Cricetulus griseus: one gene and its partners. The protein of the gene in region 2 interacts with the protein of the main gene of each other region in a biochemical or structural test. Links are inferred from orthologs where the notes say so. Each region holds a gene or a part of one and is shown on either strand. Other genes may lie near its edges.

What was found.
Region 1: the proteins of Stam (region 2) and Arrb1 form a complex in vitro, tested with the Homo sapiens proteins (2 studies listed by BioGRID). The link is inferred for Cricetulus griseus from reciprocal best matches to the Homo sapiens genes STAM and ARRB1.
Region 3: the proteins of Stam (region 2) and Usp8 form a complex in vitro, tested with the Homo sapiens proteins (2 studies listed by BioGRID). The link is inferred for Cricetulus griseus from reciprocal best matches to the Homo sapiens genes STAM and USP8.

What each region holds. Positions count from the first base shown.
Region 1 is NC_048596.1:99,980,185-99,984,196, forward strand, and holds the start of Arrb1 (beta-arrestin-1), read right to left. Parts: upstream 2,809-4,012; 5' UTR 2,587-2,808; coding exon 2,531-2,586; intron 1-2,530. UniProt on the Homo sapiens protein: Functions in regulating agonist-mediated G-protein coupled receptor (GPCR) signaling by mediating both receptor desensitization and resensitization processes.
Region 2 is NC_048596.1:218,589,730-218,594,013, forward strand, and holds the start of Stam (signal transducing adapter molecule 1), read right to left. Parts: upstream 2,804-4,284; 5' UTR 2,599-2,803; coding exon 2,559-2,598; intron 1-2,558. UniProt on the Homo sapiens protein: Involved in intracellular signal transduction mediated by cytokines and growth factors. Upon IL-2 and GM-CSL stimulation, it plays a role in signaling leading to DNA synthesis and MYC induction. May also play a role in T-cell development.
Region 3 is NC_048599.1:51,808,538-51,812,603, forward strand, and holds the start of Usp8 (ubiquitin carboxyl-terminal hydrolase 8), read right to left. Parts: upstream 2,809-4,066; 5' UTR 2,653-2,808; intron 1-2,652. UniProt on the Homo sapiens protein: Hydrolase that can remove conjugated ubiquitin from proteins and therefore plays an important regulatory role at the level of protein turnover by preventing degradation. Converts both 'Lys-48' an 'Lys-63'-linked ubiquitin chains.

The sequences.
Region 1 (4,012 bases), about 120 Mb from region 2:
AAAGCCTCAGAGCAGGACAGCTTCCTTCCTTCCACCTCTCCTCCTAGGATGAATGTTAGCTGCCTGCAGCCCTCCTTCAATCCTTCAGAGTGGGCTGAGGGAGACTCACAAGCCCACCCAGCTCGAGTAAAGGAAAATCCTTCAGTGCCTGCTAAGTCCCAGTGATCTGACCTGGCCTCTTTCCCTCCCTATGTCACCTCCTGCCACCCTCCCTTAGTCTCCAGCCTCACTGCTCTCCAGCCCCTCTGTTCCTCGTTCCTTATCCACCAGGTGATTGCTGCACAAGGCCTTTGCTCCCAGTTTCCCCTACCCTACTCTCTTACCCTGGACACTCTTCCCAAATGCCCACTTTCCCAATCCCACTACCCCTGTCAGCCAGTCCTTCTCTTGATTCACTCTTCCTTTCTTCCCAGCAACCCCCTGACCATATACTTTACTTCTTGCCCCACCTGTCTGCTCTGCTGGCATGCCCGCTCCAAATATGCCCACTGTCTCTCCTGTCCACGGGTACATCCCAAACACACACAAAGGCACACGTCACTATTGTTCAAGAAATACTTGTTAAATGATTGAGGGTGGCAAGAGTACAATATAAACTAGTTGAACAGATAAATGAATGAATTTCATTGCTTCACTGAGGGACAGAGGCACAGGAATGTGGGGGCAGATGCCTATGCTCGAATAGCAGAGCACTGGGCCTGAGATTAGATGGTAATGTAGTCCCTAAATCCTGAAGAGTGCCACTTGCCTTTCATGGCAACCTTTCCCCTTCTAGAGCTGTGTCTGGGAACCCGAGTCTCCCTCGCCTAAGTACCTTTATCCAGCCCACAATTTCTCAGCCATTACTGGGGAGAGGCAGAAGAAAAGTGAAAGCTAGAGAGATGGGGATGAGGAAAGGTATTGAAAGGAGGGGAGGTGTGAAGAGAGAAGAGAGAGACAGAGGTAGAGGTATGAAAATAAAAGATGAACAAGAGACAGGAGGAGAAGAAAACCAGGGAAAGAATCAGAAAGCCTGAAGCAGGGAGAGATGGGACAGACCCAGAAAGGTGAAACCCCTAGGCAGCCTCAGCAGGGTGTGCCCCAATCCTTCCCAGAAGCTGATCTGCAGGCATCCAGGCCTGTGACTGTGTGGGGTCTCCACAGCCATGGCCCTGCCTCACCCTCCCTTCTGGGACCTAGGGAATATTGACAGGTCTGAGTATTGCTTGCAAAGGAGAGCGTGGCCCAGCCTCTCCCCAAACATTCCCCTAGGGGCCCTGGGAGCCTTGTCTTCTCATTAATATTTATCAGTGTTGGGAGTGTGAAGAAGCCACAACTGGCCAGGGTGTGATAATTGTTAAAGTAAGGGGAAAAAAATGCAGACCACTCCATCTGAACCAGCAACTCCAAGCTAGAAGCTAGGAGCTCCATGTTTCTCCAGGAAACCAGAGAAGTGAAAACCCTGTGGCTTCCAAGTCACAATTACCTCCAGCCCTTGGTAGCCTGTGCTCTAAGGAAAAGGAAAGATCTCACACCCAGGCAGGATAAACAACTGAGAGAGAAAGCCACTCTAGTGGCTGCCGGGAAGGACGAGGCACACGTGGGGCCAGGAGGAGCAATATTCACCAAGCAGCGGAGAGAGGCAAAGGGGAGGGGAATTAAAGCTCTGCCGAGCAGCTCATTATTTCTCATAGTAGAAAGGATAGTCTAACTCCCACTCCACAGATAATTAACTGGAGGCTCCAAGCGATGCATTAACTTGCCCAGGAGCACAGCAAGCAAGGGGCTAGGTCGGGACCCAGACTCACTTCTGACTGGGCCTCCAGAGATTGGTGCCTTAATCCAACCCACTGTTTCCTAAATCCATGTTTCAAAACGGCAGGAAGAACAGACAAGAGGGGAGGGAGAGAGGGATAAATGAAAGGTGACTGGGGTGAGGGGCAGAGTGGGGCTGAAGAGGGGCAGGAAGCACAGCCATCAGTGGGGAATGTCCTGCCACTACCTTAGTCAGCACCCGAGGCCACCTCCTTCAGGAAGCCAGGACTCTTGTGGCTTCCTCAAACAACAAGAGCAGCTGCCTCATTCTCTGTCTGTTTATTATTCCCCACTCATGCCTTTAAGTACTTTTCCCAGGACAAGGCTCTTCCTGGACAATCCCATTTCAAAGATGGAGACATTGAGGCTCGAAGAGGCACCCACGAGACTCAACCACTCCATCACATAGCCAAGCACCACCACTCAAAACTCCACTCACTTCTTGCCCCAACACTGTCAGAAAAGAGGCTCTATGGGGTATTTTCCGTTTCCACAACCCCACGTGTGCAACACCGCATAGACCTCTCTGCCCGTGGCCTAACCTAAGCCCACAATCCCAGCCAGCCTTGCTGAGCAGCTGCGTCTGTTCACCCCCAGCCTTGCCTGTGCCCCACAACCTGAGCCTTAGTCACAGCTGGGTTCCCCAAAGAGAAAGACCAGCAGTGTCCTTCCTGGTTAAGGTTCAGGATAGCTCGAGAAAGAAGAGGAGGTCCTAATAAGGAGGCCAAAATCTCACGGGAAGGATGAGCAGGCAGGATGCGCTGGGGCCGGAGCTGAGAATGGGGACGCCATCGGAGCCTCAAGCCGTAGCTCCCTGTCTCCACCGCTCCTTCTGGGGCTGCTGCAGGGCCTCCTGGCTGCGAGGCTGTCTGTGCGGCTGCTCCATTGTCTCTGTGGACCAGCGCGCCCCGCTTACTCAGGGATTTTTCTGCTCCTCCATCCTTTGGGCTCGCATGTGACTCACACTCCAACCCTGTTTCTACCCTGCCTCTCACTCAGCTTCCCGCTGCTAACTGACTGAATGGCCCAATTCCAAATTCCCAGGAGAGGAATCTGATTGGTCAGCTTTGATTAGGTACCCCACCCCCTGGCCCAATCACCTGTGTCCAGGACATAGCCTGTGGTCCATGAAGCATGAGCAGAAGAGGCTCTGGAGATTAGTATTGTCCAAACCAGAGGTTGCAAGTCACTGGTTGATTAGGAAACCTACTTAAAACATTACAGGTCGGAGAGCTGGCTCAGTGGATAAATCGCCTGCTTCACAAGCATGAGGACTTGAGTTCAGATGCCCAGTACCCATGTAAAAGCTATATGTGGCAGGCTGCACCTGTAACCTCAGCACTGGGAAGGCAAAGATAGGCAGATCCCGGGGGCTTCTGTGGCCACACAGTCTGGCCTACATAAAGAGCTCTGGGTTCACAGAAAGCTCCATGTTTAGTGATGGGCCCTGTTTCAAAAAATTAGGTGAAGAATGATAGTGGAAGACATCCATAGTTGACCTCTAGCCTCTACGCACACATACACATACAGTACGTACATACACAGAGATCCTTTTTTTTGAGGCAGGGTCCTGGAACTCAAATACAAACAAGCTGGCTTCAGACTCACAGTGATTCTCCTGCCTCTGCCTCTCAGGTGCTGGGATTAAAGACATGCGCTCCTATGCCTGATTATATTTTGAGGTTGGTTGTTTGTTTTCAAGACAGGGTCTCACAAATGTAGCTCTAGCTATCCTGAAACACACTATGTAGACCAAGCTAGCCTCAAACTCAGAGATCCTCCTGCCTCAGCCTCATAAGTGCCACTACACCTGGCTTTATTTTTTGATTTTTAATGAAATGGGATGGACTAGACTATAGAAACAAGTGCTACAGGCAACAAAGATGTACTAGATACTCCCTACAGGCACCAGGATTCCCTGAGGCTGGATGTATGGGATGCCAGGCATCTTCCTTCCTGTGGAGTTGGACGCCCCCCTGTGGCTTATTCTGACCAATGAAATGCGGGTGCAAATGTCACATGCCACTTTCAGCCAGAGGCACAGAAGGAACCATCCATGGGTCCCCAAACCCTTCAAGCTCATTTTCTGTGGCTGCTATTTACAAAGTCCCACGAATTCAGTGGCTTCAAACAACACAAACTTAACTAGAGTTCTGTGCTTCAGAAATTCAAGTGGGCTTCCTTGAGCTAAAATCAAGGTGTCAGCAGCCCTTGATTA
Region 2 (4,284 bases):
AGCTCAAAGTCACACTGCTGTTAAACAGCAAGCCTGATAACTTGAATTCAAGCAAATCACTCCAAATTCTACTTAACACCAAGCCTCCTAAGGCTCTAAGAGAACAAAGTGCCAAAGCAGAAGAGGTTTTATTACTGAGCCCAGGCTGCTCAACATTTAGACTGGGGGTGGGGGAGGCAAAAAGACTAAAAAGCTAAGCAGAAAACCAGAAAAAGTTGTGACCTAGAAACTTATGGATAAAGAACAGAAGAAAAAATTTTTAAGGCCTCAATTTAAAAATGGATGAGGAACTGGTTTTTTTGGAATTGGTAAATACAAATAAGCAGGGAATTTGATGGTTATCATTATAGGTCAAACTGAATTTTTTAAGAATCCATGTCTAGCAGTTTTAACATACTTTCAACTCAACATGCATTTATTCGATGACTATGTAGCAGCTAAACAAGGATCAAAATAAAGAACACAATGATATCTAATGCTTGATTTAGTACAGACAAAAAATGGTAAAAATTGTAGGAGTTTTGGGAAGGTGAAAATCACAATAGTTCAGAAACACAAAGTATGTAAACACCCTAAGAGACAGTAAACAACGCCTGAAGACTTCCAAAATCATGACTGGCAGTGAGATTCTACTGGCATCTACTGAGTAAAGGGCAAAACCAAAGCTAACACTCTTCACTGTATAGAATATAATCCCTTAAGAATTTTATCTATTCCAAACTGCCAGTAACGTTGTTACAAGAAACTCCAGGTTGCAAGAATCAGCAAATAATTCAAGTTGAACAAGTTGGATTCTAAACTGACCTTAAAGCACAAGGGCATGTAGAAAGGCAGATTAAATAATAGAAACAAAAACATAAAAGTAAGAAGGGGCCTGTGTTTGAAATGGATGTCATGGGTAGCAAGAACAGGTTTTTTAACACTAAGAAATACGGGCAGTGGTGACTCATGCCTTTAATCCCAATACTTGGGAGGCAGATGCAGGCAGATCTCTGTGAGTTCAAGGCCAGCCTGATCTACAAATCTACACAGAGAAACCCTGTCTCGAAAAACAAAACAAAAAATCTATCTGAATCCAGTGCAAATGTGGGCTCAAAAAAAAAAAAATCAGAAGGAACACCAATATTAGGCCCTGAGTTTCGTTCCCTACACCACAAAAACAAACCGAGCCAATAAACGAGACTGATTAGCAGGAAGCAAAATGACATTACAACTAGATATAGGAGCAGCTATAGTGAAACACGCCTTTAATTCCAGCACTTAGGAGATGCCTGTCTCAAAACAACAACAAACGAAAAACTAGATATAGGTATAAGTGCTGGGAACAGAAGCACCAAATATCATTTTATATTGATACAGTACAGCAATGCAATGGTCTTCATGGTTGTATATAAAGTCAATGAACACTGTGTTCTGTAAGTACTGGTGCTAAGCACTTAGTAAACACAATTTTCCAATTCATTACTTATTTAGCATTATTGATGATTTCTAAAGTTCCATCCACTGCTCAGATTCGGGACATTCATTTAAATCGCTATGAACCAATCGGTAAGTGGCAGTAATAGGATTTCCAGTGCGACGTTATAAAAAGTTCTAAGAGGAAAATTTAAAATTCACCCCTCATAAACAAAATTCATAAAGCCACTCTAACAAGTTATTCTTACATTCTTTTACTACTGGGATTGTTAAAATCAGTCTTGCAGGCTTGGGGATATGGTATTGGTTTGCTTTCATTCTACACTTTGTTGCTAGCGTAGTCCTGCATGAATTCGTCAACCCAAAAATTCTCTTTCAAGAAATTCAAATGCCATTATTACCTTCAGGCCAGAAAGAGACAGTTAACCTGTTTAACTGATACGATCGATTTCTAATAATAATGATTCAGAAAACAACAAAAATGTAACATTTCAGACCCCTTTCTGGATGCAAAATCCTTTTCCCCACTTCCCCAGGGCAGAGAGGCCCGGCCTGAGGAAAGCATCCCAAAGGTTCACGTCTTCTTGTGTTCCGGTTGTTGCCAAGTAGCGTATCCTCATCTCTCCCGATATTTCCATCTACCCGTAACCAGACCTTTCTCCTCCAGGGACCGATATAGGAGCTATTTAACACCACCACCCCCCAAGTAACCTCACCTAAAACATTTTGCCAGTTCCTGGAGCTTCCCATATGCTTTCCATTGGGCCAGGCAAATACTTTAGCGATGGGGCTTATATTCAACCTGCTCAAGCCAAGATGCGCCCCAGCCCTCTGCTCTCCTCCAGAAGCCGAGCCCCAGCGGCAGATGGCTCCGTCGGCTGCTCCTCCCGAGGCAACCCGTCACCCCAAATCCCTGAAGCAATTCCCCCGGAGCCCCCCGAGTCCCGTAGCAGGGCCCATTAGAGAGGTTCTTAGACCCATTTCTTTCCAAGAGGATGAGCCGAGTCCCCGAGCTTCTCCCGACTCGGAACGAGGGACCCCAGAGAGAAGAACGTGGGCTCGGCCTTGGAGCCCAGAATGGATGCGTGGGGTGGGGGGGCGCGGCGTGGGCTCGCAGTCCCGCGGGCGAGGAAAACACTTACCGACATCCTGGTCGAAGGGATTGGTGGCAAAGAGAGGCATGTCCGCTGCGCGCCGAGGTGTCCCCGGGGACTGCCCCTCGACACCGCGGGAGTCAAGGTACGACGGAGAAAGGAGGCCCCTCAGGTACAAAAACAGCGACGGCGACAGCCTACACAGGATCCTCCTCAGCCCCTCCTCTCACCCACCCCCGGCAAGAGAGGCGGCGGCGGCGGCGGCGGCCACAGCGGAGAAGCGGCACAGGCCCCCGCGCGCGCGGGGCGTGTCGGGAAGCGAGGCGACCTAAGCACTGCCTGCTCCGAGTCTGACGAGAATCCTGCCCTTCCGCCGCGATGCACGCGACGAGACCCCTTTCCGGCTTCCTCTGTTGATCTCCCACGTGTCGGTGGGATTAGAGGCTGTGTTTTCGGCTTTTCCATTGCCCGGGAGTCTCGGGAGGACGAGGTCCTTCAGGCGCGCCGAGGCCGACTAAGCACCTCTGGAGTGATTCAGACACTGGGAAAGAAAGAGGCTTCAGTGTGGGTCCAGCCAAGCCCTTCGTTTTGACTCTCAGAGTTTATTCGATGGGTTGTTGCACTGTTGTAATCCCTCTAGAAGGTCAGACAGTCCTTTGGGTTATCCGAGTAAAATGTTCAGTGAGCCTGTCTGAGGGGACGAGGAAGTTGCTGGGATGGAGTCATGTGAGCTGGTGGAACTGGCTTGAATCCCTTGGAGGGAGTGTCAAGGCGCGCAGCCTCTGGAGAGGCTGAGGTAACTAACGCTGGCTCCTTCCCCAGCCTGAGATCTGAGGGAAGCTTTCCGGGTGTCGGCACCGACTGACTAAACGTGCAGTCACTGGGCCGCCTGAGCGATTAGTCCTCTGCAGCCCGAGATAACCACACACACCCAACAGCAGGAAAAACAAACGAAAAATGGAGCCAGACATTGATGGGGACTCTTGGCAACTTAAAATGTTGATTTGGTGATCTAGTTTGTACATTTGTATCACACACACACACACACAGCCCTCTAAATCATGTGGAAATCTTAGGGATCATTTCTTGGAAATATTACGTAAAGTTAGAAAGCTCGTCTTGCACATACAGTGAAATTATGTGAAGGATGCCCAAATAGGAACACATAAATGTAGCCTATAAACAGATATATGACAACAACAGGATTGGTATGACAGTACAAAAAAAAAAAAAAAGCTTGCTTACAAAACTGGGTTTAAAATGAAGTCAAAATTTTGAAGAGAGATAAACACATTAAAGTAGCGGGTAATGTTTTCAGTCATTTAAAAACAAAAAGAATCTCGAGGGCGGTGGTGGTGCACTATGGCACTCTCCTAAGGAGGCAGAGGCGAGCAGATCACATGAGTTTGAGGTCAGCCTAATCTACAGAGCAAGTTCCACGACAGCCACGGCTACAGAGAGAAACCCTGTAAAACAAACAAAAGATAAAAGGATCCAAGGATTGTAATGATATATTATTTATGATTTTTAAAGCTTGCCTGCGGATTTAGAAAGCAAAGCCAGTCACAAGCCATAGAGACCAGACACACCTTTAATCCCAGCAGCCAGAAGCTAGGGGGTGGTGGTACACACCTTTAATCCTAGGACTCAGGATTAAAAGATAGAGGGATCTCTGTGGGTCCAAGGCCACCCAGATCTACACAACAGTGAATCAATCTAAAAGAGAATTATAGCTCACACCTTTAATCCTGACATTAGGGAAATATATAAGACA
Region 3 (4,066 bases), on a different chromosome or scaffold from region 2:
AAGCTACCCCCAGCAACAAACTTCTACCAGTCAGGCCTCACCTCCTAAAGGCTCTATATGCTTCAATTTTGGGTCTGAAGCCAGGGTCTAAGCACCCCAAATTTGAGTCTGGAAAGGGCATTTTACAATAATCATATTTTCCTTGTTTTTATGTAGTATGTTTTAAAACACATATAATACTCTTTAAAAACACAGACATTGGACAGTGGCATGCATCTAATTCCACCTACCTGAGGATGCTAAGGCAGGAGGATCTCTAAAGCCTAGGAGTTAGAGGCCAGCCTTGGTCACAGTAAGACACTTTCAAAAATATGCACAATAAAAACCCATAGACATTATATCCTAATTATTAAAATCAAGAAAATAAATCACCAAGGAATTGAACCCTTGTTTTTCTACAGCCAGTATTTTACTTAAGGCCCCAAACTCAGCATTCTAAAGAAAGATTCAGAAAAAGAATAGACATTATTGCAATGAAGGAAAGTATAATGCTAAACTAGGAAAAGAAGAATTCTAAGGAACTAGAATAAAAATATTAGAATGCTGAGGAAAAGAAAGGAAGGAAATACCCCTAGTTTCTAAGAGCAATTATATACATATTTGGATTATATTTGGTTAAGTATTTAGAATATTCCATACATACAAAATACAGTTATGTGTGTTGTATATGGGTGTCCACTGATGCATACATGTCAGAAGCCTATAAAGTGGTTTTGAGAGCTTTTTGTTTTAAAAGGTAGAAGTCAGGCTGTGGGTATAACAGGTCATAGCAGTGCTTTGATATGTATGTGCCATGCCCTGGGTGCCCTAGTACCAAACATACATAAACACAAAAATGGTGTAAGACTACCATCTGATGGGGAGGGCTCTTTGATTGATCTAACCTATAGGATATTTTTGAAACTAATGTACCAATTTCCTGGTACAGGCTTTTCGGAGACTGACAGCTTCCATTTTCTGCCTGAAGGCCAAGCCACACAAAGAGGCTGTATGTAGTTATCATTCCCAGCTGCAACTAACATCAACAACTATCCAGATGAATGAGCAATCTTGAAAACCAGTCCAAGTTGAACTTTCTGATAACTCTAAACTCAGTCGATTATTTTTGTAACAAAATTAAATGCAAACCTTCTGCTTCTTGACTGCCATAAGGTGAACAATTTCTATGGCATACTCTTACCACCAAGATACTCTGCTTCACCTCAGACACAAAACAATGGGTCTAACCAATCTTGGGCAGAAGCCACTCAAACTGTGAGCCAAAATAAGTCTTATTCCCTTTAGAAAATTAGGATACTAAGCATTTTATGAATAAAGTTTGATGTACTGGTTTTATTTTACAGCTGTCTTATTTACAAAGCTCTCTGGATTCTATCCCATTTATATTATCAACAAACAAAAGATCATAATGATTAATAAACTTCAAGCAAATAAATCAACAAGTTAAATAAAAAAGACACCTTTAAATATTCTTGTTAGTTTTTCTTATTTCTATCTACGAGCAATTATTCATAACTGAAAGGTACTTGCAATTCAACTTTAAAAGACGAATCTAATATGTAGTCAAAAGATCAGGAATATACATTTTCACTATCTACAATAATATGGCATAATTAAGATATATCCTAATTATTAGTTATAATTAAATGTAATTAAAGAAGCATGAATAGAGTCACTATCACCATATTGGCACGGTACTCTATAGATGAGAAACTACCTAAATCCAGCATGACTGACTGACTGACAACAGGGAGTCTTAAACAGAAAGAGTTGAAATGCAGCAAAACCTACTCACAAAGCTAAGCAGCAGAGGTCTTTTAAAAAAACAACACGGGGAGCTGAGTGTGGTGGTGCATGTCTTTAGTTCCAGCACTCCAGAGGTGGGGGCAGGTGTATCTCTCTGAGTTCGAGGCCAGCCTATTCTAAAAAGCGACTTCCAAACAAGAATTGCATCCTTCAGTTAGGTAGGCATTATTATGATCCGTAACCCTAGAGCTTTTAATAAATATTAAACTCCTTAGACTCTGCAACACCTCTGTGAGTCAAGTAAATATTTCTTGAATGACTGACTTGGTCAAGGTCACAGAGTAAACTGAAAACAAGACCTAAACCTAGGAACCGGGTCTGCAGCTTTGTAAGTAAATGAACTGCAATCTGGGGTTCTGACAATTCCCTCAGGACATACGAGTTGAAATGAACTTGACTGTGCCACAAGTCTACAATCGAAGGCACATCTTAGGAAAAGAAAACCCCCTCTTTGAATAAGTTTTAAGTGTGAGGAGTCTGTTTAATTCACTTCTTGTTCTTCACTAAAAACTTGCGTGACTAGGTCACAGTTATTAGGAAAAACATGACAAGTTGTTGTGGTCAGGCCTGGGATTGTAGGTAGCACAAAACCAAAACACAGAAGCAAAAGGAAGAAGACCAAAGTCGGGTCTAGTGTCCAAGAGAAAGGAGAACTGGCCAAGGCCACCCTCTGAGACGGGCAACCGTAGGAGGACAACGCGAGAGACCAGGAGTGCGGGCCCTTGCTGGGCCAGCCAGTTGTCTGGGGTTGTCCCACCCCTCCGCGGACGGGGCTCGTCTCCCGGATGACCAGCAGCTGGCGGACGCCATCCCCGGGAACCGGGGCCGGAGCCTGGACGCACTCACCGCAGCGCCCGCGCTCCGCTAACGCCGGCCTCCTCGCCCGACGCCCATCGCCCACCACCCGAAAGAGAACGAGCCTTCGCTCTCAGACGCAGGCCTGCGCAGCTCATCCCTCTTCCCGATTTGCCTTGCGTGGCGACGCGTCGCGTCTCTAGACGTCACGGCAGAGGCGGGGCTTCCAGTAGCCCCGTAACTCCTCCCTCTGCTTCGCTGGGAGGGACATCGGGATGGCCTGCTCTGGAAGGGCGAGCGAGCGCCGAGCAATCTACGCATGCGTAGGAGGGGCGGTTTGCCCCTGTGTGGGACGGAAGCGCGTGTCGGGTATTTCCGGGTTCCTTGCGCCTCTCATTTCCGAGGGGTATCAAGTTTGACGTGTGTCATTCTGTGCCTTGGACCTCTCTGCGGAGTAAGCAAGGATATTCTAGAACCTCTTCAACTGTGTATTTTTCTTCTCAGGTCTGAAATTAGGGGGAAAAAAACGGGAAGGGGATTGATACCTCTAAAACTTGGGAATAAGCATCCTCCAAATCCAGTCCTCTAGTTAAAGAACAAGACATGTTCGGAAAACATTGCAGAGACTCAGTCAACATCTCCTAAAGACCCAGTCTTACAAAGCAGGGGTCTGGACTTTGGGGAGAGTCTACCTAAGCACTCTTATGGAGAAAGGATGAGTTACTCCGATTATCTGTGTACATAACGTTGCTTAGGGTGGAGTTGTTGGCCCTGGTCAATAAATCCTTAGGGACAGCCCAAATGTTTAATGCATGGAAGTACACATGTCTACTAAGTGTATAAAGTAAAAGTACTTACCTAATAGGCAGTCATTAACCATAAAAAGTAGTAAGTGTCCAGTCCACTAACGGTGCTTCACATACAGCCTTAAAAAATAACATTTGTGTTAATTTCCTTTCCAGTACAATTAGGCACATGTAAAAAATATTCTTGTATTTCTACTTAAAAAATCAACACTAGCTGGGTGGTGATGGTGCACGCCTTTAATACCCCAGCACTCTGTAGGCAGAGGCAGGTGGATCTCTATGAGTTCAAGGCTAGCCTGATTTCCAGAGTTCCAGAGCTCCAAATCAAAACAACAACAACAACAAAAATCAACACTATATTGCATACTATTGGTTTTTCACCAACATGTAAAGACTATTGTAATAAGATAACATTGTGGCTGGGCTACAAAGTGAGAGTTAGGACTATTACGCAGAGAAACCCTGTCTCGAAAAACAACAGTGACACACAGATGTAATCCCAATACTTGGCAAGAAGATCAGGAATTGAAGAACAGCCTCTGTTACACAGGAAGTTTGAAGCCAGTCTGGGCTACATGGGACCCTGTCTCAAAAAAAAAAAAAAAAGTAAGACAAAACAATATTTTTAAAACTATGCATTTACTGAATGCATATTCTAT